Linked DNA regions of Canis lupus familiaris. The protein of the gene in region 6 interacts with the protein of the main gene of each other region in a pairwise test. Links are inferred from orthologs where the notes say so. Each region holds a gene or a part of one and is shown on either strand. Other genes may lie near its edges.

Evidence for each region.
Region 1: the proteins of MYOG (region 6) and CLUAP1 interact in binary tests that used the Homo sapiens proteins (3 or more experiments, as listed by UniProt). The two-hybrid records come from large-scale screens. The link is inferred for Canis lupus familiaris from reciprocal best matches to the Homo sapiens genes MYOG and CLUAP1.
Region 2: the proteins of MYOG (region 6) and H2AP interact in binary tests that used the Homo sapiens proteins (3 or more experiments, as listed by UniProt). The two-hybrid records come from large-scale screens. The link is inferred for Canis lupus familiaris from reciprocal best matches to the Homo sapiens genes MYOG and H2AP.
Region 3: the proteins of MYOG (region 6) and EIF4E2 interact in binary tests that used the Homo sapiens proteins (3 or more experiments, as listed by UniProt). The two-hybrid records come from large-scale screens. The link is inferred for Canis lupus familiaris from reciprocal best matches to the Homo sapiens genes MYOG and EIF4E2.
Region 4: the proteins of MYOG (region 6) and POLR2C interact in a two-hybrid assay, tested with the Homo sapiens proteins (2 studies listed by BioGRID and IntAct). The link is inferred for Canis lupus familiaris from reciprocal best matches to the Homo sapiens genes MYOG and POLR2C.
Region 5: the proteins of MYOG (region 6) and TXNDC9 interact in binary tests that used the Homo sapiens proteins (3 or more experiments, as listed by UniProt). The two-hybrid records come from large-scale screens. The link is inferred for Canis lupus familiaris from reciprocal best matches to the Homo sapiens genes MYOG and TXNDC9.

The regions. Positions count from the first base shown.
Region 1 is NC_049227.1:38,020,399-38,025,017, forward strand, and holds part of CLUAP1 (clusterin-associated protein 1), read right to left. Parts: intron 3,300-4,619; coding exon 3,227-3,299; intron 2,374-3,226; coding exon 2,296-2,373; intron 1-2,295. UniProt on the Homo sapiens protein: Required for cilia biogenesis. Appears to function within the multiple intraflagellar transport complex B (IFT-B). Key regulator of hedgehog signaling.
Region 2 is NC_049260.1:32,882,966-32,886,448, reverse strand, and holds H2AP (huntingtin-interacting protein M), read right to left. Parts: upstream 1,719-3,483; 5' UTR 1,665-1,718; coding exon 1,299-1,664; 3' UTR 1,169-1,298; downstream 1-1,168.
Region 3 is NC_049246.1:44,382,636-44,387,254, reverse strand, and holds the end of EIF4E2 (eukaryotic translation initiation factor 4E type 2), read right to left. Parts: intron 4,093-4,619; coding exon 3,988-4,092; intron 2,582-3,987; coding exon 2,429-2,581; intron 2,332-2,428; coding exon 2,195-2,331; intron 461-2,194; coding exon 388-460; 3' UTR 189-387; downstream 1-188. UniProt on the Homo sapiens protein: Recognizes and binds the 7-methylguanosine-containing mRNA cap during an early step in the initiation. Acts as a repressor of translation initiation.
Region 4 is NC_049223.1:58,229,787-58,235,029, forward strand, and holds the start of POLR2C (DNA-directed RNA polymerase II subunit RPB3), read right to left. Parts: upstream 3,618-5,243; 5' UTR 3,549-3,617; coding exon 3,463-3,548; intron 3,307-3,462; coding exon 3,257-3,306; intron 1,374-3,256; coding exon 1,305-1,373; intron 940-1,304; coding exon 887-939; intron 1-886. UniProt on the Homo sapiens protein: Core component of RNA polymerase II (Pol II), a DNA-dependent RNA polymerase which synthesizes mRNA precursors and many functional non-coding RNAs using the four ribonucleoside triphosphates as substrates.
Region 5 is NC_049231.1:44,389,344-44,394,507, forward strand, and holds the start of TXNDC9 (thioredoxin domain-containing protein 9), read left to right. Parts: upstream 1-1,909; 5' UTR 1,910-2,148; intron 2,149-4,643; 5' UTR 4,644-4,673; coding exon 4,674-4,862; intron 4,863-5,164. Other genes in the region: EIF5B (eukaryotic translation initiation factor 5B), read right to left, coding at 825-859. UniProt on the Homo sapiens protein: Significantly diminishes the chaperonin TCP1 complex ATPase activity, thus negatively impacts protein folding, including that of actin or tubulin.
Region 6 is NC_049228.1:241,032-246,249, reverse strand, and holds MYOG (myogenin), read right to left. Parts: upstream 3,201-5,218; 5' UTR 3,138-3,200; coding exon 2,667-3,137; intron 2,116-2,666; coding exon 2,034-2,115; intron 1,650-2,033; coding exon 1,528-1,649; 3' UTR 829-1,527; downstream 1-828. UniProt on the Homo sapiens protein: Acts as a transcriptional activator that promotes transcription of muscle-specific target genes and plays a role in muscle differentiation, cell cycle exit and muscle atrophy.

The DNA.
Region 1 (4,619 bases), on a different chromosome or scaffold from region 6:
TAGTGTGGACTTTATTAAAACTTTATGCAGCCAAAGCCATCAAAGCCATCAGCAAGAAACTGAAAAGATGGCCCAGAGAATGAGAGAAAGTATTTGCAAATCCCAGATCACATAAGGATCTAGTATCCGGAATATACAGAAGAACTCTTACAATTCAATAATTAAATAAAAAATAACCCAATTTAAAAATGTCCAAAGACTTGAATAAACCTCTCCAAAGATTTATACAAATGGCCATTAAGCAATGAAAAGATGCTCCATTTCATTAGCTATCAGAGGAATTCACATCAAAATCACAATGAGATATACTTCACGCCCACTTAACTATTTGTGTCTCCTTTCAGATCAGCACAGTCCAAAAGAAATGTAATACCAGGGATCCCTGGGTGGCGCAGTGGTTTAGCGCCTGCCTTTGGCCCAGGGCGCGATCCTGGAGACCCGGGATCGAATCCCACATCGGGCTCCCGGTGCATGGAGCCTGCTTCTCCCTCTGCCTATGTCTCTGCCTCTCTCTCTCTCTCTCTCTCTCTCTCTCTCTCTCTGTGTGTGTGTGTGTGTGACTATCATAAATAAAAAAAAAAAATTAAAAAAAAAAAAAAAGAAATGTAATACCAGCTGGCAGATATATAATTTAAAATTGTCTATTAACTATATTAAAGTAAAAAGAAATAGGTAAATTAATTTTAGTGCTGTTTTACTTAACCCAATATATCCAAAATATCATTCCAATAAGTAAACAACATAAAATACTAATTAATGAATAATTTTACTTTCTTTCATGCTAAGTCATTGAAACCTATTGTATATTTTCCACAATCAGCACACCTCAATTTGGACCAGCCACATTGAAAGTACTCAAGAGTCACACATGGTTTATGGCCAGTTACTGGGTGGCACAGTTCTAGACTCTGAGCTCCGTGAGCACTTCACTCATCACTATGTTCTAAGTGCCAGCAAAATGCCTGACATGCAGTAGGCATGCAGTAAATTAAGTGTTAAATGCAGGAACATCTGCTCTCCACCATACTATAAAAACTAAACCACAACAAGGTTACTAATGTGCTTTCTAGAAACTTCTGGGTCATTTTATGGATTTACCACCAGCAGTGAGGTTTAAAAGGATAGTGGGAAGACGAAGGCTGCCCTTACTTCTATTACAGGGTACTAGAACAAAATGCTTGGCCTTTTTAACCCCAGGGCATTCTCCTGTCTCTAAGCACTCAGACTTTCTCTTCCTCAAGTCCCTTCCTCCAAACTCATCGCCTCACTGAGCTCTGGTCCCCACTCTCTTGCAGACTCTCAGGTCTCTCTCTCCTCAACTGGTAGCTCCTTTCTCCCCAGATCCACTTATTTTAGCTTTGCTTAAATAGTACTTCCTTTTTTTTTTCTTTTTAAAGATTTTATTTATTTATTTATTCATGAGAGATACAGAGAGAGAGAGAGAGGCAGAGACACAGGCAGAGGGAGAAGCAGGCCCCATGCAGGGAGCCCGATGTGGGACTCGATCCCGGATCTCAGGATCACACCCTGGGCTGCAGGCGGCGCTAAACTGCTGCGCCACCAGGACTGCCCTAAATAGTACTTCCTAAGCGAAGCCTACACTGACTCCCTATTTAAAATCCAATTCCATCCCACCCTCTCCATCCTTTCTCTGCTCTACTTTCCCCCCAACCCCAGGGTCACCTTCTGCTCTCAGCTTGCTCAGTGTTTGTGTCCTCTCACTGGCAAGCAGACTGGTTAAAGCAAGGATCCCTGTCTCTCATCCACTAGTGAATCCTTCGCATCCAGAACAGATCTTCAACAATGATTTGTTGCACTCAATCTCTTATCACTCCTGAATTTTGCTCATTCTTGCTCTTAATCATGTCCATGTCCTATTAGGTTTTTCTGTTCAGAGAAGTCTTTCAGAAAGTCTTCCTTTATATATCTTCCCCTGATCCCAATTCTCTGAACAATGCTCCCACATATATAGCACAGCAAAGAAAAACAGAACATCTTAAGAACTTTGGGATGAACAGAACTGAGAATGAGTCTTCATGTTTTCCTAACTTCTTTGCCCACCCCAAGCTAATTAAGTGCTATCCTTCATTCAGTTTATTTCAAATGGAAATTACTTTTCCAAAAAAAGCTAAATCAGAGATGCTCCTATGAATGCTTGTCCTTCAAGAGATCCCAAATCTATGGATCACAAAATTAAACTGTGAGTTTAGAAGAATAAAACAATATCAGTGAGGAAAGTCTTACATGCTGGTCTGGGGACAGAGCAGGGTGCAGCCAACCAACCAGGGCTCTTACCTGTGCCAGGCCTCTCAAGAGGGGATAAATCCCATGCAGGCTTATCACTTAGGGCTGCTTCAGGCTCTCCTGGCTCACCTGGAACCATAAAGGTAAGGGGCTGCTTCGGCTAGAGAGGCCCTGGGAATTCCCTAAACTTGCCCCTAAAGGATCTCCCCGAAGTCCTTACTGTCCTTCCAGAGCTTCCTGAGATTAGAAGAGGCATAGGACAAGTACAGAGGAGAAAAGTACAAAGACAGAGAGAGCCACCGTGGGTATACATGCCTGAAGTCCTATATACATGCCTGAAGTCCTCAAGCACAGGAGAATCAAGTATATCGTCATAAAAAAGTATATCATCCCTTTCAAGAGAAGGAGAACTCTGAGACAGGGCTGTGAATGCAGCATGAAGACCATGTACTGCTGTGACTCCTGAGGCTGACCTGACACCTTGGTGAAGTTCGTAGATGAAGCATGCTAACCAGTCACAAGCAGCAGTCCCCACCAGCTGACAGCCTCACTGGACCATCTTGGATTACTGGGGGCCACATGATGGCTATGATGGTAGGGGGACGGACCCTAAGGAAGTGACCCCTTCATGCTTCATGGGCATAGCACTATGGCACTTGCTTTCTATCAGTCTGCCCTAAAATAAGGACCCTACAGACCCCCAAGACCCAGTTTTCTTTCATGGTTATATGTTACATGCAATTCAAACTAACAGTATCATTGAAATGGGAAAACAGTATTTTAGTTGACAAGAAAACCAGATGTGCTTTAAATACTATGTAATTTGAACCAACCTCTTGAGCTCTTGAGCGAAAAGAGTACTGGATATAGAACATGTGAGAAAACTGCCTTTTGAAAATAAATAATATATACATACAGATTTCTTTCAGGAATACCAACACTGGCACAGAGGAAACAGCCCTGTCTGAGAGTGTGGCCTTACTTCCACTCCTGAGCAGGCGCTTCTCCTCCTCCTTCAGCTTGTTCTGCATCAGGCGCAGAGTATTTTCAGCTTCCTAGGGAACAACAAACACAAGACTCAGAAGAAAGGACCCTGTTCCGGACTGCTTTATTGTTCTTTAGCATCTAGGTACGTAGGGCTAATCTGTGCTGCAGGACCAGCCAGGATCTAAAGTACACGAGAAGGATCAGCGCCCAGTCAACAAGCAGGGCCGGGTCCCAGCACTCCTGTTCTCTGCCAGCAGCCCAGAGAAAGGTAGGCAGCCAGAAGTGGGGCAGCTGACCTCCCCCCCGAGCCCTAAAGAACACGAAAGGATCCACTGAAATGCCCATCACGTGTGTCACCGTGCAATGCCAACAGGGGAGCAGATGCATCAACTACGGGACAGTACAAGGCTCCTGCTCCAAAGACCAAAGCTCTGCACCACTCCAGCCCCAAAACATGCTAAATGGTGGGGCTGATCACAATGAAAAGAAAAAGAAAGAAAAGAAAAAGAAAGAAAAGAAAAGAAAAGAAAAGAAAAGAAAAGAAAAAAGAAAAAAGAAAAGAAAAGAAAAGAAAAAAGAAAGAAAGAAAAGAAAAGAAAGAAAGAAGAAGAAAGAAAAGGAAAGAAAAGGAATAAAAGAAATGGAGATGATGATTGTGGGATGACCTTCATTCGTCTTTTCTTCTTGCTCCTTCCTTCCGCGCCTCCTTCTCCCTCCCTCCTCCCTCCCCTTCCCCCTCCCTCCTCCTCCCTCCTCCCTCTCCTCCCTCTCCCCTCCCTCTCCCTCTCTCTCCCTCCCTCCCCCCCTCCTCCCTCCCTCCCCCCCCCTCCCGTCCCCTCCCTCCCTCCCTCCCGCCCTCCCTCCCCCTCCCTCCGCCAAGTAACGAACGAAAGAATGTCTCCCTGGTTGGCGCAGCGGTTTGGCGCCTGCCTTTGGCCCAGGACGCGATCCTGGGAGACCCGGGATCGAATCCCACATCGGGCTCCCGGTGCATGGAGCCTGCTTCTCCCTCTGCCTGTGTCTCTGCCTCTCTCTCTCTCTGTGACAATCATAAATAAATAAAAATTTAAAAAAATATATTATAAAAAAAAGAAAGAAAGAAAGAAAGAAAGAAAGAAGAAAAGAAAGAAAGAAAGAAAGAAAGAAAGAAAGAAAGAAAGAAAGAAAGAAAGAAAGAAGAGTCTAGTTTTTAGGGGCACAAAAGCTAACACTTCAGCTCAGTTACCAAATGTAGCCCTAATTACTGTCAAAAGAGAGACTATGAGAGGAGATTGGCCTTTAAATATTTGTTGTTGTTCTAAACATTATAATGAAAGTTCTGTTTCATGCATGAGATGGCCTTCAGGCCCAGGTGCTAGAAGCACAGAGAGTCTGCGTGAACACAAGAG
Region 2 (3,483 bases), on a different chromosome or scaffold from region 6:
AACTATGTGGGGTGGACATCCTGACAGTGAGGTTTCTGGAAATATTTGGTTGAATGGCATTAGGGGAGCAAGAAAAGTTTCTTGGATTTATACAGGCCCATATTCCAATGAGCTCTAAACACAACCCTGGCCCTATTATTGTCAGGACACTTCTGTGAAGGAGGCAAAGGCAGAGACAGCTCCACACTTTGAAAGATAATGGAAGGAGGCAGAGAGAGGGTGAGTCACCATGGAGGGAGGCAGAGAGGAAGTGAGTCACCACATAGAGGGGAGCAGAGAAGACACTAGGCTGAGGCCTATCTGGTTCCTAGGAATACCTCTGGCTTCTTCCTCTGTGTGGCACTTTTCTGTGTTTCCACAGGGTTTAGTGGGCTGTGGTTTCATAGCCAGAGGTCCAGGAGCCCAGCAATCACGGGAGAACCAGGCGCAGGGGCACTTGCAGAAGTACACCTAAGCATCTGGTCTACTAGGGAGGGAGAGACATGCAAGTATTAAGAACTCTCCAAATTGCTTGTTTTAGGCCAGATAGTTTATAATTGCTTGTTTTAGGCCAAATCACTTAACTTACCAGTGTCCACAGGAGAGGACACAAGGACATACTCCACAAAACGTTATCACAGCACTAATATTATCTGTCTTACATCCTTTTTTGGAATGAGGCAGGGTATCAGTGAATGAAATCAACCTGAGCACCGTTCCACTCTGTATACCTCTTCATGGGTTCCCCATCGCCCCTCAATCTTCACGTAAAGCTCATGCCATCAAGTTCACGTCAACTGCTCTGCCATCCTCTCCATCCACCCGCACTGCCATCACCTTCTGACTTCTACACGTTCCCTTCTCATGAATAAGGTTCCTGGCACCTCAGTCACGAGCTTCAGGACCTTCCCAGTTACCACCATGGTTCTGGGAACTCAACATGCCTGGGAAGCCCCCCACCCGCTGCCAATCTCTCAGCCCACAGGCCTTGACTTGCTCAGAGCCCATGAGGAAGTCTCTCCTCTGCAGCCAGCTACTCCCCCCCAGGGCCCAGAGAAACCCCTCCCTGAAACACTGGACTGTAGCCTCCCACACTGATCACCCCTTCCTCCCTCCACTCCCCACAGGAGATCTCCTCCTGGGTGTCTCACAGACCCCGCCGACTCGGAAGGACAGAAACAGAGACAAGTCAGAGGCATAGCCCTGAGCTTCAACACTTTAATAGCATTAACTGATGACAGAAGCCAGACTTCTCAGTTATAAGAAGTCTTGGCTTAGACTAAGGCTGTGAGGACTCCCACAAGTCTAGGACCCAGGCTTTAGCCATTTCTCCTGGATCTAGGCATCTCATCAAACAGAGTGAAGGCTGTATCCTTCAGGCATTGTTGGGGCTCTCTGTTGCTGCCCACTGCTCTCTCCACATCTTGTGGGGCAGTCTGCATGTTGTTGTTATTGGCCTCAGTGCCTACACGCTCCAGGATGTAGTCGGTGAGGGAGTCGAGCATGGCAAGGAGGAATTCAGTAGATGTTGAACTTAGGCAGTGGGTGCGCTGATCTTCCTGCAGGAGGCGGTCCACATAGCTCACAGGGAACTGCAGCTCAGTTGTTACAAGATGGGCTTGAGTCTGATTGGAGCTCTCATGGTTTTTGTTCCCTGACATGATGTTGGCAGGGTTTGGCTCCATCAGCTCTGCTTGATTCCCCAGCTGCACTGTGCCTCTCAAGACAACAGGGGTCAACCCCGCCCATTTATATTCCTAAGCCCTGGCCCCTCATTGTGACATCATAGACTTTGGGATGTCACTGGTGTCCACTGTGTCCTTATCAGGCCTCAGCCCAGAAATGTCCATGACAGGAACCTGGTCACCCTAATGAACAGACCCTGATTTTGAGAGAACTAGAATTTTCTGCTTGATTTTAACATTGTAGAGATCAATGTGTATTCCAATGGGAAACTTCCCCGTCTTAGGACATCACTCTACATTATCTGATTCTGGCCTTATATGGTCTTTGAGGCCTTTTACAATCCTTCATTAGTTGTAGGTTAGTGATAAATATGTAAAATGTATTGTCTAGTAGAGATTATATTGTCCCCCTTCCATGATATAATGAAACCAGTTTTGCCTCCATTCACACATGCATTTAAATATTTTTGATTAACATTCCTGTATCTAATCCTTGGATTCTCTATGAACCAGTTATATCCTCTTCCCATTCCCTCACTGATTAAATAGAATCTTTTAATACACGTTTATTTCATACCTGTATTAGCCTCTTCATTTTACACTGTTTGAAAAATATCTCTTGATCATTGTGGAAGTCATAATGAGATGCTCAATGGATGCATCTTTCAGAATCACGTAAACATTGTTTAGAGAGAGAAGTGTACTTTGCACTTAGTTTAAGTCCAGTTGTGTCTTCTTGGCTGTCCTAGATGAAGCCAAAGCACCAAGAGGTGTTTCCTCTCATTTTATTCTCATTTTTTAAGAAAAGTTTTTATTTATTTATTTGAGAAAGACAAAGAAACCGAGAGAGAGAAAGAGAGCATGAGCAGGGAGAAACCAGAGGGAGAAGGAGAAGCAGACTCCCTGCTGAGCATGGAGCCTCATGCCAGGGTCAATCCTAGGACCCTGAAATCACAACCTAAGCCAAAATCAGATGCTTAACCGAGTAAGCCACCCAGGCGCCCCATTATTTTTTTCTCATTTTAATTTCCCTTTCCACGAAGTTGGTGTTTCTGCTTTGTTTGGGGTTTATTTACAGCGGTAACAATTAAAGACATTTCCAATCCAAAAGAGAGAAGTAGCAGGAAGAAAAGAGTCTGATCCAAGCAATGTGGATCAAGCAGACAAACCTACATACATTTCAAGGTCTGGGAATAATATTTTGTAGCTTGTGGCTCCTTCTGATCCCATGACTTCATCTTGGCCCACAGCTCTGCCCTCTAGGCCCTCGGCTCTGTCCTCAAAATCACCTTCCTTTTATTTTGAATGGAACACATGTTTTCAGCTGAGTAGTTTTATCAGCCTGTTTTCCTCTTGTCAAATTTTGGGAGCTCCATGACCTTCTTTCATTTCATCTATTTTCTCAGTTAAAGATAGCATAGTTTTTGCTGATTTAGCATACTCAAAAATCTTGTAATTCCCCACCCCATACTACATGGGGATTTGTGCCCTTAGACAAGAAACTTGTTCACAGATCCTTCCAGGAAAATGCCATCTCAATTCCTAGCTTCTGCTGAGATGGCTGAGGTTATCCATGATTCACACCCTATTGCTTCAAAGAGCCCTCTGTTTGATTGAATACTTTGATCTTTCGATCCCTCTGAGAAAAGATGTGTCTAGCTACATGCTTGATGTTTATCTCCACAAGACACTTTCCTGACAGCAAATCCTCTCATTTTAATGTCTTTTGCATTCTGGATAGGCTGAGAATTGCTCCTATCTTCAAGTCCTGGCTCCTTTTTGCTTAACAGCAAATACTTTTCTCAGAAATATGCTCAAC
Region 3 (4,619 bases), on a different chromosome or scaffold from region 6:
ATCACCTCATTATGTCAGACCTCAGCAGAACTGGAAAAAATATCATGTGACACTACAATGGGCTTATGGAAATGAGGCTGCATTCCCCAGATGGCCCTCCATGGAGAAGTCTGTGCCATTCCTTAATATGGTGACAGTCAGTCTGAAAGGCCACTTCTTTGATGCACCATAAAGAGCGAGAGCATGAGACAAGCTAGTTTAGCACCATTTATTAAGTGATCTCAGCTGTTGTTGTAGCTGCTGTATATCAGCCTGTTCTTAAAACATAAAATGCTCTTCCAATTCCTCTTGTCCAGGACAGAAGGATCTTCCAGGTAGCACGCCAACAGAACAAGAGACTCCGATGATGCCAGCTTCAATGATGGTGCCATCCAGAGAGGGAGAGGGTCATGGCACATTCAACCGCGGCTTCCAGAGGTTTTGAAAAAGGAGCCTTTGGGGGCCCAGCCTGCCTGGCATTCTAGTGGAAGTGCAAAAGGTGGGCACATTGGGAGAGGAAAGAGAGGGAGACGCGAGGGAAAGTAGCATCTGGGACTCAAGGAGGGTTTCTGGTCCCTGTGGCTGTAGGGCTGGAGTGCTAGGCAGATCTCTTGATAAAGCAGCGAGCAGCAGACTAAGGCAAAAAGCCCACAGGCTCTCCTAGACTCTGTAAGAACTTGTTCACATTTTCTACAAAAGTCAGGAAGAATTGCCTCAGGGTATTAGAGAGGGAGAACAGTGGAGGGGAGAGTTGAAAAATACCTCTTTCCCTTTCCTATCCAGGTAAAAGCTTGCTTTTGTGGGGATTGGGGAAGTGGTGGGGGGCATTTGGGAACCTTGACCATAAGAGTCCTAGAAAAAGTAGGTGTAGACCTTTCCAACCTGGACCATGACTGGCTGGAGGGCAGAAACTATTCTCTTCCAGAATGAAGAATGGGGGAAATCTGCCTAGAGAAAAACAATGCTAACTCAGGAGTGCTAAGGCAAGCAACCGGGGCCATGGCTGGCTAGTAACTGTTGGTGTTTACGGAGAAGTCACAGCCAGCTATGTGATTGCGGACCAATGCTTGTGGCAGTGTTCCCAGTAAAAAACTGGCACTTGGCTAGTTTAAGCCAATTCCACCCACAACGTTATCTGTAAATGCATGGGAAAAAGATTCCCAAATAGTTTGCCTGCTGAACACCATCGCTGGGCTCGTTACTGGTCTTTAATAAGAATAACATGATGATGATATTATTACTAATGATGACGATGACAGCAATAATAATACTTGGCCCTGCAATAGCATTCTCCACCTGAGGACGTTCAATTACAAAGATTAAATCAGCCTCACAACAACCCTGTTAGATAAAGTATTATTATCCTCCATTTTACAGATGGGGAGACTGAAACAGAGTGGCAGAGACTTGCCAAAGGCACATATTGATACTGGAGTCAAAGGAGAGAGTTAAACCTCAAAGTCCTGACTCCTAGTTGGCTAGCTCTCCCTCTAGTTTTGAGAAAACCTGACAGCCACTCCCCACAACTTCTTCAAAATAACCTGAATTTACTTATGACTTTGGTCACTGAAGGAGCAACCCTAACCTATGATTCCAATTTGTGGACATCCAATTCTAGGTACCCCGAGTTCTAGGTAGATCGCAAAGCTTACTTCCCCCTTAGATTCTACTCTCACAAACGCACTATTCTGCCTCCTCTACAATTTCAGTTCTACACACAAGGAAGTAGAGTCATCATTTCCGATAAGAAGTCGATTTCCCAGGACAAAGAAAGCAGACTGACACTAACAAGTTAAAAAGACATGCAAAAGTGGGGTGAGGGGCAGACAGGGAGGAGGACTGGACTATTCAGTGAAATTATCCTTAAAAACAGCAAGAAAAAGAAGAGCGCTTTGTCTTTCATTTTAAGATAGTGGTTAGTGAATGAAAGACAAGACAGCCTGTGTAAATGAAGCAAGCCCAGGCAGTACAACTGGGATTCTGCAGAATTCTGCAGAAGGGCTCTCTCTGATACAAAGTGCCCCAAGTGTAGGTGGGCAGGGAGCCTCACCAGCAAACAACTGCTACAAGTGGCCAGAAGCACTAGAGGGGAAGATTGGTCTGTCCCTTCTCTGTAAGTCAGGCTCCTGTACAACCACATATCCCTCTGGGCCCAACTAAGGACCTATTTCGGCTAAGCTTAGGGACATGCCCCCCGAGCACCCCCAACACATACTTGATGCTGTCGGTGTGGGTTTTGTACTCCATAATGGTGTTGGGAGGTAGGTTAAGCACTCGCCGAAGGGTATCCCGGATGCGGGCTGTGGTTGCTTGGTCACTGGCAGTCTTATTCCATATTGAAATAATGTCCTCCTATAGGAGGAACAGAAGGAATCGTCAAAGCAAACCAGAGGAAGTGAGGAGAGCAAAGGCAATACAGGAAACCAGACCTGCCCATGGAGTGGCTTACCTGAAACCGGACAGAGACCACAGCCCCACAGATCTCCTCCCCAACCATGAACTGTTCCCCCAACATGGCCAGGATGAGATTCTCCCAGCAACGGGATGCCAAGCCCTTCCGCAGTCGAATAATCCACTTGCCACCATTTTTATTTGCATCATCCTGTACAAGAAAGAAACCATTAAAGTTAAAATGTGCTTTCACAGGTCTTTTACTTTTACATGATAAAAGCCGGCAGGATCAAAGCCCATGTATCCCTTGAACACTAAAGTCTTGTCACCTTCCAGTTATTCAACTTTATAGGAAAAATGATGGTAGGACAAGGGAGACAAGAAATGGGAAAAAAAGAAAAACAAGGTGGGAATCCTTGGTACAAGCCATTACAACGAATGGCTAAACTGACCCTTTAAAAACAATTCTCTCTCTTTGGAACTATTTCAGGAATCAAAATGAAGCGATGTCAGATTTCAAACACAGATTATTCCTCGCTTCATTCACTAAAAGTTTCCCAAGTGTCACGATATCTCAAGTACACGGACATAAAGCCACAGTCTCTACCAGACCCAATCTAGTGGATAAATCAGAGCAGTACAGTTGGAGAAGTGTTGCTGTACCAGAGATACACTACGTTAAAGAAAAACAAGATAGAAACACTCAGGAGGAAACATTTTAAGCTGGGTCTTGAGGGATGCCCAGTTAGGCAAGTAAAGCAGGTGAAGGGCTCTGCAGGCATCAAAAAAATCATGTCTGTGTACAAAGTGGTTCGTGTGTCAGGGAGACAGGCAAAGAAGAAGACTAGCACACTGAAGGGAAGGCTGAGGCATGCTGGGAGATGAGGCCTGGAGGGCAAGTGAGTGCAAGAGCACGTGAGCAATGCAGAGCTGCAAAGGGCCTGTAGTTAGGTGTGCACGTGTGTTCACATTTGTCTTCTAAAAAAAAAAAAAATGCTGGGATCCCTGGGTGCTCAGCGATTTGGTGCCTGCCTTCGGCTCAGGGCGTGATCCTGGAGTCCCGGGATCAAGTCCCGCATTGGGCTTCCTGCATGGAGCCTGCTTCTCCTCTGTCTGTGTCTCTGACTCACTCTCTTTATCTGTGTCTCTCATGAATAAATAAATAAAATCTTTAAAAATAAAAAAAAATAAAAAAATAAAATAAAATAAAAAAGGCTGGCATCAGAATAGAAGATGGATTACAGCAAAGAGATCTCAGAGCTCAGCTCTGGGTCTTTAACTACTGCCTATAAGCAAGCTTACTTTTTACCAGCTTCTATCACATGTACACTACAGTACTATATCACATACATGTACAACCAGTTTGATGGGAATGGGGTAATTAAAAAAAAAAAAGTCCTTTAATGTTGTTATAATACCATTTTAGTGATATAAACAATTTCTGTAAACCACCGACACAGACATGCAATGACATCAGTACCTTCTCCAAGGCCCTGGCTCTAAGGATATACCAAATAGTGATGTAGCTTTGAGGCAAGATTTCAAATACTTTTACTCTTATTAGGGAGAAAAAACCCCAAACAATCAGAAAAGTGATCTGAGATCCTCCATGCTTACCTCCCACATGGGCTTAATTCCTTCTTTGAAGAGATGGAAGTCACTGTGGCCTGTCAGGTCCCCAGGACGTACCATGTGGCTATAAAACCTCCAGAACTGCTCCACCTGTAGAGAGAAGACCCCAGAGTACAAAAGATGTGTCTTTTCTTTTTCTTTGAATATGACATTTAAGAGAAGACAAACATGGAAGACACTCTGCTACAGACTCTATTTTTTTGAAGATAAATTTTCATTTGGGGAAGTATGTGGGAAGGCAGGCACGTTGTTTGTTGATACAAGAATGAGGATTGTTTATTTTTTTATTTTTAAAAGATTTTATTTATTTATTCATGAGAGACACACACAGAGAGAGAGAGAGAGAGAGGCAGAGACACAGGCAGAGGGAGAAACAGGCTCCATGCAAGGAGCCTGATGTGGGACTCGATCCTGGGTCTCCAGGATCACACCCTGAGCTGCAGGCAGCACTAAACCACTGTACCACCCGGGCTGCCCTGTTTTTTTTATTTTAAGATTTATTTATTTAATCATGAGATACACAGAGAGAGAGAGGCAGAGCATAGGCAGAGGGTGAAGCAGACTCTTCACAGAAGCCGGATGCGGGCTTTGATCCCAGATCCTGGAATCACGACCTG
Region 4 (5,243 bases), on a different chromosome or scaffold from region 6:
GGCATGGGTACTTTTACCCAAGACATTGCCAAACTGCTCAACTGGTTGTACAACTATCCTCACCAATATTTGTGACATTTCATTTTTGACAAACAAAAATCTGCATGCAAATTGTTAGAATATGACAAGTTGTTTGACAGGAGTGAGAGTACTGGTCAGGTAAGCTCCACATATCTCTAAAAAAATACAGATTTATAACATATATCAAATCTACCACCACAAAAATGACATGCCCTTGGGAATATCAGATGATGCGCTGATTCAGGATCACCCAAAGCCACCGAGAGAGAAGAGTCTCAAACTGTTACCTAACACAGCACTGGGGAAAAGAAGCAGGGAACTTAATCCTGTCCCATTCCTGCCAAGTCCAAGGCCTGTTAACATATCAGGGAACAAACATGACCCTCGAGGAAGGGGCATGTTTAATGAGCATTACCTACAGGAAGAGGCACATATCTGGCAGATGCCAGCCTTCCAGACTCTCAGGTGCTACCACGGGGGACAGTTCCCACTCCCTTTCTTTGTTCTCACCCTCCCGCCCCCCAAACTCTCCAACCCTCTGTTGACTCTCTTTAGCCTTCCAGGCTCCTATCACTGAGAAGGACACCCTGGAAAACAGTCTGAATAGATTAGACTCTGAAAAGGCACTGCCCCCACTGTTGAGTATAAATGGGTATTCTGGTGTATATCCCCCATCTTGTGTGGCTGGAGAGACTCCCTGATGCCCCTGAAGCCTAAACAATCTGAGGCCTGTCAGAACTGAGGCCCTGTGTCTGCTTAGGCTCTAGGCAACATCTCCATGATCTCCAGCTGGAAGTAAGAGGTCAGGAAAATGCCTCTGAGGGCTGCTTCCTTCCTGCCCCTTCCACCCAATCACACAACATACCCGGGAATACTGCAGCTTGTCCACAATGTCATCACTAGTCAGGGGGATTAGTCCTGGAAGAAACAGAAATGCACTTTAAAGAGTCCAAATCGGGCAGCCTGGGTGGCTGAGCAGTTTAGCGCCGTCTTTAGCCCAGGGTGTGATCCTGGAGACCCTGGATTGAGTCCCATGTCAGGCTCCCTGCATGCAGCCTGCTTCTCCCTCTGCCTGTGTGTGTACCTGCCTCTCTCTCTCTCTCTCTGGGTCTCTCATGAGTAAATAAAATCTTTATTAAAGAGAAAAAGAAAAAGAAAAAAAAAGTCCAAATGGCAATGGCCAAGCCTAAAGGAGAACCTAGAAATCCTTATGGGAGTGAGGCTTCCTCCTCTGACGTCAGGCACAGCCCCCTCCCTCTCACCTTTCAACACCCAGCACTCACCAAGTCTGTGAGCGATGAACTCATCATGAAGGACTGAGGAATTGGCATCAATTTGGACCCAGTCAATGGCTAAAAAATAAGGCAAGCAAACATGCAGTTTAGCCACCAAATTTAAAGACTTACAGCAGTTATTCTCCTGATTTAAAAAATCACCTGATGTTTACTAAATTACAGAGGCCTGGGCCAGGCAGCCAGAGGCTGATTCTGCAGCTTGAGTGGGGACAAGGGATCTGCATTTTAACAAGATCCACATGCAACACAGCTCCCTTCCCTACTCAGATTTAGTGCAGGGTGAGGGTAGGGGGGGGAGGTGTGCTGTCCCACTCAAAATACTGACTTAGAGAATACTAAGGGATACTAATCATGGGATTGGGAACATGTTTCCTTGAGCTGAATATTTCTGTAGGAAGCATGTTGTCTGCTATGCACATCAACACCAAATCAAACACAAACTACATGGGCACTTAAAATAGAGAAAATCTCACAAAAAACAGACTTATGGTCCATATCTCATTTTATGATGCAATGACCAGATTACCCAATTTAAGTCTTTTTATCAACCAACTAACGTTTAAAGAATTCAGCGGGCACAGCATAGTAAGTATCAAATTCAATTCCTACCAGCAACGAGCTAATAAAGGTAAGGACTGTATTCCCACACACACACTTGACTTAAAAACATATTCATTTATAAATAAAATACCTATACGCAAATTCATAAGTGGCCAACTACCAAATAAAGGGTGTGGACACTGGGAATGGGAGTCAGAAGAGGACTAGACATTTAGGACCCAATCTGCTTTGTCCTACGCTAATGCTTCCCCAACCCAAGTCAGATAAGACCCATGAGCCAAGCTTTTCTGTCTTCCTACTCCCTCCAACCCCACATGACCTTACCCTCCCTTGGGGAAGTTACGATCCTCTGAGCCTCCTATAAACCAAGCGTTGCCTGACCTCCACGAAACAGACACTAATACTCCCTCACAAAACTCTGACCAGACTAAAGACATTTGTCATATTTTTGCCTTGTGCTGTATTTGTGTATGTCTTGTCTCTACTGCAGAGCTTTGAAAAATCAGAGAGGGTGGTCTTCAAACGCCTTTGGCTTTCCCAGTGTGGCCTGCAATGTAACAGGTGCTCAGTATTACTTGCAGAACTGAATCTGTGGGAAGAGTGCCGTTTAGACTTGTAACATCAGGGCTGCATCATAAAGCACAACTTTCTTATTTTACTCATGATAAAATTGAGACCCAGAGACTTGGAATGACTAGGGACGGGGGAGAACCAGCACTCCAAGCTCCAAGCTGAAGAAGTGACTGGGGATGACGGTAGTGCAGACTGTGATGTTCTTTCATTTGCCAATCAATGGGCCTGCTCATTTCCTTAGGGAGTGCAGCAGCCAGAAGTTACACTTCGTTTTCCAACCCAAAGTTTGAGTCAACATTCAGAAAATACTTGTAATGTTTATACACATAAAGAACACCCGAGGTAGGGTTGCTGGAACTAAAGCAGATCTTCGTTCCTCCAAACACCGCAAGCGCTGCAGTCATACTTCTCCTGAACTGCTTGCTGATGCACATCTGCCCCACAGTCGTGTCATCTGTGGATTCGCCTCTGCCCTGCAACTTCACCGTGCGCTCCACAAGGGCAAGAACCCCGCGCTATGCAGCTCTGGGTCCCCAGTTCCTAGCACACTGCCTGGCGCTTCTACGTTCCCTACGTGCAGCAGACGGGACGGATTCACACCCGAGTACGCAGACTGCCGTCCACTCTGCGCCGATCCGTACGTTAGGAGAGGACCCTAGCGGCCCCGGGCCAAGGGTACAGGGTCCGAGCGAACGCCCAGCACTGCTGTGTTCTCAGAGCCACCGCCGCGCCGCCCCAACCAAGGGCTGGGGGCAGGGCCCGAGGTGTGCGGAGGGGGCTGGCCACGACAGGCGGCTTTCGCTTACCTATTATGGGCACCTCGGCGATGAAGACCCTCCGGATGGAGTTGGCCACCCTGAGGGATGCAAACAAAGCGGCGTGAGCGCGCCGCAGCCTCGACGCCGACACCCCGCGCCCACCCCTGCCAAGGCGGACGCCCCGCTCTGCGGCCCGGCCCGGGCTCCAGCCCCCCGCGCTCCGCAGCCGCCCGCCTCCTCCCTCGGGGCCTTACGCCAGGTCCGTGTTCTCGATGATGAACTTGACATTCTCGTCGGTAAGCTCGGTGATCCGCACGGTGGGCTGGTTGGCATACGGCATGGCGCCCCCCGGCCCGCCGCCCGCTGGGACTCGGCGTCGGCGCCGCCGCCGCCGCCGCCGCCGCCGGAAGTGGGCCAGCGCGGCCCGCGCCGCCGGAAGTGGACCAGCGCGGCCCGCGCCGCCACCGCCGCCGCCTCGCGCTTACAGCGCCGCCTGTCGCCCGGAGGCCGCCGCGGCTCTGGGCCGCACGTTCTACACTCCCCACCGGCCGTAAGCGCACCGGGGCCAGCCAGGCGCGGGCGGGAATTGGCAGAACGTGCGCACGCCCTCCACTCAACAGTAACACTTCTAGGAATTCATACTGCGAAAATGCCCGCAGTCGTAAGCGAAGACAGGTTCGGGGGCGCTCCCTGCAGCGCTGTTCATAACGGCCAAAGATAACAAAACGAATTGTCTGTTGACAGAGACCACGTTGAATACACGACCATAGGGATACTAGGGTGCCTTTAAGGGAATGAAGTAAATCTGCACATTTATGGAAGAACATGAAGTGTAACTTCGTCAAAGTCTGGCTCATACTCTTCTGAAACTGCAGAAGATATGCTGCTTTTTATCTCAACGCATCATTCGCAGCTTGCCTAGTTATGGCGGGTGGGTGGCAGTCATCTCCACGCCGCGACTCTGCATGCCTGGCACAGTGCCCCTCAGAGGGTGGATGCTTAAGACATTACCAACGCTCCACCCCACAACGGCCTGGAGAAAGGTTTGAATGGGCAGCCACTCATAACACAGAAGAGGTTCTGAAAATAGAACTTAGCAGGAGCTCCATTTAAGGGGCTGAAGAGTAAGAGAGGAGATAAAGAATTTGCCTTAGCTGGAGGTGACTCTTCCTGAGACAGACAGAAAGGGTACTGAAGGGGGTTGTGCTTCATAGCCTGTGTCATCTCAGGAAATTAAGGATTAAGGTTGTCTGCTGAGGGCAGGAAGGATGCTATGAAGGATAAAGAATGGAATAAAATTTGAAATAGCTACTGTAGGGGACTTGACAGGGAGTCATGATACAAAGAATTAAATAGGTACAGAGAAGGGCTGGTGTAAGGCCAAGATTGGAAACACCTATTAGCTGGTGACTCCCCCCCGCCCCCTCCCATCAATACTCAGTCAACTTAGGTTGGACATAATGCCGCAGATAGAAGCTCTGAACTAAATTGTGTCCCTCTCAAATGCTGAAGCCTAGCACCCGGTGTGGTATTTGGAGATGGGAGTCTTTGGGAGGCCAGGAGGGTAGGAATAGTGCCCTTGTAAGAACAGGAGGAGACATTGTAGTTCTCTCTCTCTGCCCTATTCAAACACAGAGAAAAGGTGGCAAGTTAGACTTCGCCAGGAACTGATCTGGCTGGCACCTTGATCCTGGACTTCCCAGCCTCCAGGACTGTGAGAAACACGTTAAGTTGCCCCATCTCTGGTATCTTGTTATAACAGCCCAAGAACACTATGACAAAGGAGTTAACCAGACTTGCAAAGGGAGACCCAGCTAGTGTATAGAGGAAATTATTAATGCTAAAGAACAGATCACTGAAAAGATTAGCGATAGAAAATAGCAGCCAAGAGAGCTCATGGTGAAGGGGAAGGCCACTGTCACCCACACTTCCGGAAGGGAAGCATGGGCCCAGTGAGGCAGAGCTGCCATACCCACCCATGAGCAGTAGGCCGCACAAGGACCAGAACCCAGGTCTCCTGGCTGCCAGCCTCAAG
Region 5 (5,164 bases), on a different chromosome or scaffold from region 6:
CGGGGTACGTAACTCTCCATACGCCCTTACACTCCCTCCACCCCCCCCCCCCCCCCCCCCCCCCCCCCCCCCCCCACAAAAAAAGCCTTTTAACTGGTTAGAAAGGAGAGACCCCGGTTGGTTGGTTTTTGTCTCCTCCTCCTTTCTTAGGGGGAGGTGCTAAAGAGCAAAGAAATCACCAAAAGACAGGCCGGAAGAAGGAAAGCGAAAAGCATGGAGTCTGGACAACTAGACGTTAAGTAACTGAGAACTATAACCAAATGATAGGAAGTTAGGAGGGAGTTACCTGTTAAACACCTCCCTGTAACCCCAACTCACCTGAGCGGCTCAGACTTTACCAACCTGGCTGAAGGTACAGCCACACTCCAACTCGCCTCTCCTCAAGTATTCGCCGGTACAAAGGCACGGAAAGAACTCTTCCTGACCCTCGCCAGTAGTAGCGCCGCAAAAACAACTCTGAGGCTGGCCGCGGCCACGCTGGCCGGGCAGTCCCTGGGCCAGCGAGGCCACCGGAGCCCCTCCCCGCGGGGCAGGGGACCCCCCAGACCACCGCCCCGCCCCTGAGGTACCAGATCCCTCCCTCCAGGCCGGACGAGGAGCAGCGACCGGACCGAGTCTCGACTGAAGAACCCGCCGCCGCCGCCGAGGCCCTCCGCGCCCGTCCGCAACTGCGGTCGCGGCCCCGTGCCGCCCATGCGGGACCCAGGCCCGGGGCCCCGCGGGGCCGGGCGCGAGCCTCGCCCCCGGCCGCCCCGCGCCGGCGGAACCCGCGCGAACCCCTGAGCTGCGCCGGACGCCGCCGTGCGGACCCAGTCACTGGCTACCTGTCTTCGCTCTTGTTTTTCTGCTTCTTCCCCATCGTGTGTCAGCGGCGCTCGCGGCCCCAGCCCCTCTCTTCGGTCTCTCACAGACCCGCTGTCCCCCAGCCGACTTCGGTCGCTCCGCGGCTCGGCTCCCCTCGCGCTGCCGCCTCTCGCACCCGGCTCTCCACAGCCCCGCGCACTGGGACAGGGCACATATGGTGTGAGCGCTCAGTGCGCAAGCGCATCGCCCCGCCGCCTCGGCGTGGGGACGCAGGGCGCGGCTCATCGAGAGCTGCGCTTCGGGTAGAGCGTCTCCGGCAGACCCGCCGCCAGGCGGGACCCGAGCGCCCCCTTTCCGCAAGCGTCCGCCGCGCGCGGGTAACAGCTGCGTCTCCTGGTTCTAGAACTCGGAGACAATGAGGCTGAAAATCCCCCTCGTTAGCTCCAGCTCAGCGGCGGAACGCAGACTTGGAGTTTGGAGCTCTGTTCCGAAGTCAGCCTTGCGCTTTGCTTCCACCTCTCTATCTTCGTATTCTCAACCGCACGCGGGTCACTAAAGAACCGCGATGAGCCGGTGATAGGCACTCTAGGTCATATATCGAGGACACATTGGGCCTCTCGATAACGTCCATGAATTATCAAGTCCGTTCGGTCACTAAAAAACAATGACCGCGAACGAAACAAGGACACACCGTTAGTTCCCCGAACTAGATCTTAGTCTTAACGCTCAAAGCGACAGCAATATCTAAGAATTTGTTAGGGAAGTCAAAAGGGAACCTACTAGGATAGAAAACACGTTCAATGTCTGGATCTGGACGGTGTTAACTATGTAAAAACTAACCGTGCTCTGGAAGTTATACCTCAACTTAAAAAAAAAAAAAAAAAAGTTCATTAAACACAAAGGAAGTGAAGTTGGGATGTCACTCCGGAGCAAGATCGTAGCCATCCCGTTTCTGATGTAACATGACGTGTCCTGAGGCTCCGAGCCTAAGAAAGTCCGACGCGGCCAGGCTGAGCACTGACGAACTACAACCTCCAGCATACTTTGCTCCCCGGCGCGTGGGCGGCCGACCAAGAGCCAGGCTAAAAATCGGAAACCTCCGGGGGGGGGAGGGGAGGAAGGGAGCTGCGCACGCGCAGAGGCGCTCCCCGCACGCACGCCCTCCTCCCCCGCCCCACTTCCTCGGGCGTCTCAGGTTGTATCGCGTGAGGGCCGCAGCCAAAGGGGAGGCGGAAGTGACGGCCGGTTCGCAGTCACGGGCAGCTGCTGCGAGGGTGAAGCCAGACTGGACTGCCTTCCTGGAGCGGCTGGTTCCTCACTTCTCCGGTGTCACCGAGAGCTCAGGTGAGGCAGAGGATGGTGTTAAAAAAAACCGGCCACCGCCTCCCCGTGCTGATGGACACTTCGCCACTCAACATCCGGCCCGGGCGGGGGAGGGGCGCGGCCCAGACGTCGGTGTCGGTGAGGCGGAGGCGGCTTCGGCGCATGCGCCGCGGGAGGTGTTGAAGTCGGGGCCACCTGCCCTCAGCCTTCGGCTGTCCCTGGGGCTCTGGGAGTGGCGGGGAAGCCTCGGGGGGGGGGCGCGGTTCCTCGGGTGCAGTGAAGGTTGTTTGGACGGGTGCGTGTAAGGGAGTCAAGGAAACGGTTAGGTGATTTGAAGACAAGCCCCTTCCGACCGTTCCCGATGAACAGTAAAAAGGAATCGGGTTTGTGGTTTGAAGGATGAAAAGTCATCAGGATCGCTACACCATCTCCCTTCCCTTTTGTGAATGTGGTGACCACCGTCACCTGTCCCCAGAACAGCTCGTGTTACTGGCTTCTGTCCCCAGTTATCCCAGAATTAAATTCTGAGTTCAGTCTCCTAAAACTTCAGGGATAAGCATCCGCTGTAGCTTTAGTAAGAACAGGTTCTGACATATAACTTAGTGTTTTGATAACCAGTTTTCTGCCTCATCCGGCCCCAGCCCTAAGGGAAACAGTCGTACTGACGTTTTTCTTTGGAGGTAGGAAGTGTGAGATTATTTTTACCATATTTGAAATGCAATTCCTTAAAAATACATAGCATTTATGAGGAGCTTACAGTTTGTTTATTTTTTTTTTATTTTATTTATTCACGAGAGAGAGAGAGAGAGGCAGAGACACAGGCAGAGGGAGAAGCAGGCTCCATGCAGGGAGCCCGACGTAGGACTCGATCCCGGGTCTCCAGGATCAGGCCTTGGACTGAAGGCGGCGCTAAACCGTTAAGCCACGCAGGCTGCCCAGTTTGGTTTTTTTTAAGTCAGATACTTTTGAAACTTAAGGATAATTTGAACAAAAAGTAGGCACATGTTCATTCAAAAGTTTTTTTTGAGCACCAGCTGTGTTCCAAGCATTGCTAGCTCTGGGGATACAAAAATGAAATCAATTGTGCTTTTCATCTGCTTTTCCTGCGAAGAAAAAAGAAAAGTGAAGTTTGCAAGACTACTACTTTTGATTTCAACAGTTGTAGAGAGTTTGCGTGGGCCAGGCTATATGTCAGTAACTTGGTCAGTGAGTTCACGGTTTATTAAGATTTTCTTCAGTAGTATTTGCAATCGTGTCATAGTTGAGATCAACAGCTTCCTGCTTTCATAAGCAAGTTATAAATTATATTTCTGTGGTAATAACCCATGGGTACACATAAAATTTCCATCTGTTGCTGACAGAAAATATTACATCTTATAGAATGTGTAATTAAGATAGAATTTCCTTTCCTATCTGAATTAGATTGTTTTTAAACTCCTACCTTACATAAAGGAGTGTTAAAAAATCAGTATTTTTAACACTTGGAGTGATACTGTTTCACATCAAAGTTAAGAACACTGTCAGTAGATCCGTACCAGTATTGATCTTTTGTTAGGGCATTGGAGAAAAGTAGTGAAACTAAAGTTTGGGGAACACCAGGCGTAAATTGTTCTTTACCTAATTTGTACATAAATTGTGATGCAGTTTCTCAGAGGTTAAATGAAAATCATTTAGGTAGAGACCTTGAAAAATACGTTGTTGGCTCAACTCTGTTCTATACTGAAGCAAAGTTTGTTTTGTAGATGTATATGTAAAACCTCACTGCACTTAAACTTTACCACATCATTATTCAGTCGTTCCTGCTTTATTTCTCTTCTGGTTTAAACAAAGAAGCACTATCAATTTATGTCACTAGGTAGAACTCCAACTACTCATTACTCTCTGGTCTTAAAGACTTGTTTTTGCTTTGTTGTAGTGAAGCACAAACTAAATCAGAAGCACCTAACCTTTGTTCTAAGTAATATTTGAGTGGTGTGACTATAACCTATTGAAAATTCAATTTTAAAAGATTTCAATAAGGGATGTCTTGGTGGCTTAGTCAGTTAAAACGTCCAACTCTTGATTTCAGCCCAGGTTTATGATCCCAGGATTGTGAGACAGAGCCCTGAGTCGGGCTCTCACCGAACACACAGCCTGCTTAATATTCTCCCTCTCTGCCATCCCCTCCCCTCCCTCCCTCAATCAATCAATCAATAAAAACATTTAAGTAAAAATTCTTTTTTTTTTTAAGATTTAATTTATTAGAGACAGAGAGGCAGAGGGAGAAGCAGGCTCCATGCAGGGAGACCGATGTGGGACTCAATCCCCGGTCTCTAGGATCACGCGTGGGCTGAAGGCAGCACCAAACCGCTAAGCCACCAGGGCTGCCTTAAGTAAAAATTCTTAAGTGTAACACAAAATGTTTGGTTGTCAGAACTCTTTGTAGAGTACAAATTATACACTTGCTAGAATTTTTTAAAATGAGAGAAGAAACTTTACCTTTTTTCTCCCCCCAACTTTGCAAACTTTCTCCCTAGCACCAAGGCTGAACTGTACCATTTAGAAGAATGGAAGCTAATGCATCTGTTGACATGTTTTCAAAAGTCCTGGAAAATCAATTGCTTCAGACCACCAAACTAGTAGAAGAACATTTGGATTCTGAAATTCAGAAACTGGATCAGATGGACGAGGATGAATTGGAACGCCTCAAAGAAAAGAGACTTGAGGCGTTAAGGAAAGCTCAACAGCAGAAACAAGTAACCTCTCTGCCCTGCTTTCTGAAATTACTTTAACAGTATGCTCCTAACAACTTATATATACATGTGCTGAAGTACTTTTATATTTCAGTCCTCATTTCTAGAGTTGTTTTCATTTTTTGCTTCAGAGTACTATCACTGTTAAAAATGTGCTGGGAAAAAAAATAGTTTTAAAGCGCATTAAAAATTAGTTTGTTCAGTATGTTAATCTACAGTCGAGTAAAAGAAACATGCACCCAAGATCGTGTTTTGAGCTCAGATTGGTTGGTTGAGGAGAGAGTGGCCTAGGTAGAGCATAGGAA
Region 6 (5,218 bases):
TTGCAATAAATCAGACAAATTCAGCCTAAAGCAGTTGGAGTTAGTAAGACTTTCATAGACGTGCGCAGTCCATTCAGCCTCAGCTTGTATTCTCACTCCCCGCCCTCCCCCACCTCCTCCCTTCGGCCAGTCATTGGAAGGAAGCGGCGCATGAACACAAGCCCAGCCTCCCTCCCTTTGACTGTCCTTTGGGGCCCTGCCCCTGCACCCATGACCGCGTCCATCCTCCAGCCGTGGGCAGGGGCCTGGCAGGATGCAGAGAGGAAAGACTGGGTGGCCTGCACGGACGTGACGGCGTCTGACCCCAATCAATCACACCGACCTATTCACCTCCCCCCTGCAGGGCTCCTGGACCCTCAGGCCAGAGGAGAGGCAGGGGTGAGGGACGGGAGACCCACAAATTCCCATCCATCACTCTGCAAGCTGGCTGTGGGATGAGAGCTGGGCACAGGGCATGCCCATGGGTGGAAGGGAACGGGTCCTGGGGTTTAAGGTGGAGCTCATATACCCGGTGCACGGTCTACGGTCTAGTGTCCACGAACCAGGGGGGCCCCCAGTGCCGGCCGGGCCCTTCTCCAGGTCTCGAGGCGTCCATGGGTCTGGCCTTCACCCACCCCGTGGGCCACACCCAGTGGCCTTTGTAAGGAGCCGGGCTCCCAGCAGCTGGTGGGACCAGCAAAGTGCTGCCTCAGCTGCTCTCAGAGCCCCACCAGGTGCAGGCCCTGGGAGTTCCCCACCCTGGGGCTGTGTCTACACCATCGAGGGGAACGGCCGGGCTGGCGGGCACCACCCCCCGACATCAACACAGGACGCTCTCCTAGCACCCAGTCTTTATTCATTTTTTAAAAAAGAAATCCAAATAAGTTAGCAAAAAAAATTACAAAACAATGTCAAAACCACACGATGCTTAGTTAAGAAAGGAAATCACCCAAGACCCCTGCCCCCCTCCCTGCCTGTCCCTGGCAACTCGTACGCAGGAGACCTTGGTCAGATGGCAGCATCGCAAACACAAGACATGAAACCACTGGAAGTTTCCCAGGATTCACTGCAAAGCTTGCCCCACCCCACCCCCCCGGGACCCAGGAGCAGGATCGTCCCCCTCCCTTGTCTCCCAGTGCAGGGCAGGCCCAGCCCAGCCGCTGGCATCGGGAGGGACAAGCGCGGGAGGCGCACAGCTCGTCCTGGTCAGGACCAGCTCGCCTCTCGCAGTCTCTATCGAGGGAGGAGGTGGAGCATCAGGAACAAAGGGGAGCTCCTGAGTCTGGCCCCTGACCTGGGGCACACACGGGGCACACGAGGGGCCCTCTGGTCCCTGCTTATCTCCCTGGAGACAGGCTGCTCCTTGCCCTCAGGAGTCAGCTGGGAGAGCGGCCACCCCTCTGGGGGGACGGTGACTTGGCCTTATATGGATGGGGGGGGGAGACTGGCGCTTGGCAGCCCCGGGCTGGCTCTCTGGCATCAGGACAGCCCGGCTTAGGAAGGCGTCTGCGGCCAGCGGGGGGTAGGGGGGGACGCTCACGGGCGCCCTCAGTTGGGCATGGCTTCATCCGGAAAGGCCGCAGAGACGTCTTCCACCGTGATGCTGTCCACGATGGACGTGAGAGAGTGCAGGTTGTGGGCGTCCGAGGGGTCGGTGGCGAGCAAGTGGTCTGCGGGGAGACGGGAGGGTGTTACCCGGGGGTGACGGGGCCCTCGGAGTGGCATGGGTGCTCCAGGATGGTGGCTGGGTGGGAGCCGGGGCTCCTGCTCCCCAGGCCCTGCCTTTCCCGGGCCTGCAGGGAGGGGGTGCGGGTGTGCGTGTACGTCCGTGTGCCTGCTGAGCACCCAACCCCCCTCCCCCGCCCGTGACCTCCCCGCTGGTGTGAGTGGAGCCGCCTGTGCACCCTGGGGACCGCCGGGCGCGGAGGGGCAGGAGGCCTGGCCTGCTCCCCGGCTCCCCGGCTCCTGGGCCTCGGGAGGCAGCCTCGGCAGGGAGAGGCCTGGGGCGGGAAGTGAGGCAGAGGCCTGGGCTGAGGGGTGCGGGGCTCACTCACCCCCGGGGCTGGGGCCGAACTCCAGGGTGCTGCCCCACTCGGGGCTGCAGGAGGCACTGTGGGAGCTGCAGTCACTGGGCACCTGCAGGACGCGAAGCCCGAGGTCAGAGCGCGGCCACTGCTGGCGTCCCTCCGTCCCTCTGTCGCCGCCGCGGGGTGGGGGGTGGGCCCCAGGGCCTCGTCGGAGACTGTGCCCCCGCTGGCCACACGCCCCCTGCCTCCGGGCCTTTCCTGCCCCCCGTCTCTGGCCGTGGCCCTGTCCTCCCAGGCCACCCAGCCGAAGGGGTCCCTGGTTTTCCGGAGCCTCAGAGGTGAGGGACGCGGCTGCAGCAAGCGGGGCGCTGGGCCACACGCCCCCTTCACCCTCGCCCCCACCCAGGCCGGCTCCGGACTCACCCTCGCCTCCCTCCTGACGCCCGCCCCCCCCCCCGCCTCCAGGTCCCCCCGCCGCCCCCAGCTTGGCCTGAAGGACAAAGGGACACGGGTTAGCTGGGCAGCCCGGCTCTGCCGAGGGGCCCCCGCCGTGTCTAGGCCCCCCCGGCGCCTGCTGCAGCATCGCCCCCCCCCCGGCCCCGCGCGGGCACCGGCCTCCCACCCCCCCGGGGCAGCTGCGAGGGACCAGCAGCCACTCACCCCCGGCTGGGGCCCGCCCCCGCCCCGGTAGCGGAGGTCCCGCTCCTCCTGGTTGAGGGAGCTGAGCAGGGCCTGCAGGCGCTCGATGTACTGGATGGCGCTGCGCAGGATCTCCACCTTGGGCAGCCGCTGGTTGGGGTTGAGCAGGGTGCTCCTCTTCAGGGCCTCGAAGGCCTCGTTCACTTTCTTGAGCCTGCGCTTTTCCCTCAGCGTGGCCGCGCGCCGCCGGTCCACCGACACCGACTTCCTCTTACACACCTTGCACGCCCACGGCAGGCACTGGCCCAGGCAGTGCTCGGGGGTCCCCAACCCCTTGTCTTCGAGGGGCCCCCGGGCCTCGGGGCTCAGGCTGAGCTCAGTCCGCTCGTAGCCCGGCGGCTCGAAGGCCTGCAGGTGGACTGGCAGGTAGCTCTCCCCGTCATAGAAGTGGGGCTCCTGGTAGAAGTAGGGGGACGTCTCATAGAGCTCCATGGGGTCGGAAAGGACCTGCTCCTGCCACCGGCCCCCAAGCTCCTACAGCCCCTCACGCCAACTGCTGGGTGCCATTTAAACCCTCCCCGCTGGCATGGAACCAGAGATAAATATAGCCGATGCCGCAGAAACCTGAGCCCCCCCTAAGCTGTTGCTGCACATCAAGACGTTTACAGTGGATTAGATGTGATTCCCCTGCCCTCTCCCCAGCCCCCGCCCGGCCAGCCCGCCTGCCCCGGCCCGGGCGGCTCCTGTGCACCGGGAGGGAGGCCGTTGCTGTAATTCGATTAGTTTTCATTTCTCTGCGGCCCCCAGGAGGCAGGGGAGGTGGGGGAGGACACACGCTCCCCTCTCATCTGCTCCTTTCAATTACTCGGGGCTGGGCGGCCCGCCTGCCCCGTCCCTGCCAGCCCCAGAGAAGTGGGGTGGGGGCAAGGGGAGGGCACAAGGGGCACGGGGTCGGCTGGAGGGGGCCTGAGGAGTCAGCGGGCACAGCCCTGGCCCAGGCCCCAGCAGTCAGCAGCAGGAGAGGGCTTCAGATTTGGGGCTCGGGGGGCTCGGTGTCCAGGGATTAGAGGGAACCCGCAGACGCAAGTGGGTTTCCAAAGCGGCCTGGACATCTAACAACCTCAGGTCTCCGGCGAGGGCGGAAGTGGAGGCAGGAAGGACTCCCCGGTGTTTGGGCGGGGACCTTAGGGGCTTCCCTTCCACGCGGCTGGTGGGGGGCAAAGCAACATCAGGACTTACAGGCTACCCCGCCCCCTCCCCACCGAGTGAACCTTGTCTTCCCCGTCTGTCCCTCTGGCACAGGGCGGCCTTTTGGGTTTTGGGCGGCAATGTGCCCCCTTCTTCATTCTTTGGTCCCACTCTTTTCCCTAGAAACTCTTGAACTAAGTCTGATCCCCCCTCCACTTGACATCTGAGATTGAGGCTAGAAGTTCCAACCAGGGTAAGGACAGTACGGGGAGGAGGAATGGCGCTGGGGACTCAGAGACGACCCCCCGGGGGAGGTGGGACCCAGTGGAGCCCGAGGGACCCGGCTTCCCTGCCGCTCACGGTCCATGGTGAGGAGCCAGGAAAAGGCTGGCGTCTGTCTGGGGCAGGGAACAGAGATGAGGCGGGGCTGCCACTGGGCACTGCAAACCCCCATGCATGTTGAAGGGGGATCGGGGAGGTCTTCACTGGGTTCTTGGCCTTCCCAGGGCGGCCGCTCGGGGGCTCTGGGTTCCAACCACACTTTGGCCAGCTAGGCTGAAGGAGGATTGCTGTTTCTAACACGCATCCCGCCAAGCAAGGGAAAAAGAAAAACCTTGCCTCAGTTTACACTCCATCCCTATGAGCCCCGAGAGAAGAAGGGATGTTGAAGTTACTATGGAAACGGACACATTGCATCGTTTCGTGCTTCTGGGATACAATCTGCCTTGCCCCTCGGCGGTGCGTTCGCACCCTCTAAAAAAGGAAGCAGGGAAGCTGGGCTTGTGATTTCTAGGATCTTTACTCTCTAGTTGGCGAGCGTGGACTCCGACACGCGGATGGTGAATCGCAGTGTAAGAGGGAGCTGTTTTAACGCAGCAGGAAGCATGGGGGCCGGGATCGATGACAAACGAGTGGGCTCGCCAACCGGGCGCTTCAGTCGAGAAAGTCATAACTGCCGAAGTCGGGGTCTCTGTGGAAGGCGGAGGCTTGCAGGGGAGCGGGCAGCCGGGCTGGACAGCAGGTGGGATTTCGGGGGAGGGAGCGGAGGGGCGGGGGCTCAGGGAGAGGGTTTGGACGGCCCGGGGTCCCGACGGGTCTGTGAAGGTGGGAGGGGGCCCACCGGGCTCGGCGGGGCTTGACGCTGCACAGAGAGCTCGCTGCCCTCATCCCGGGGCGAGGGTCGGAGCAGCCCGGTCAGCGGGAGGCTGGGCGCCGCCAGGAGGGTGCACGTCAGCTGGCAGGGGTGTGGCGCGGCGAGCGGCGGAGCGTGATGGGAAGACACTCACTGTCATCGCGGTAATGCGAGGGCACCCTACCGTAACCCAGACGTAACCCTGAGAAAGCATTTGTCGGCCTCCTCCTTCCCGGGTAGACCCAGTTTCCCA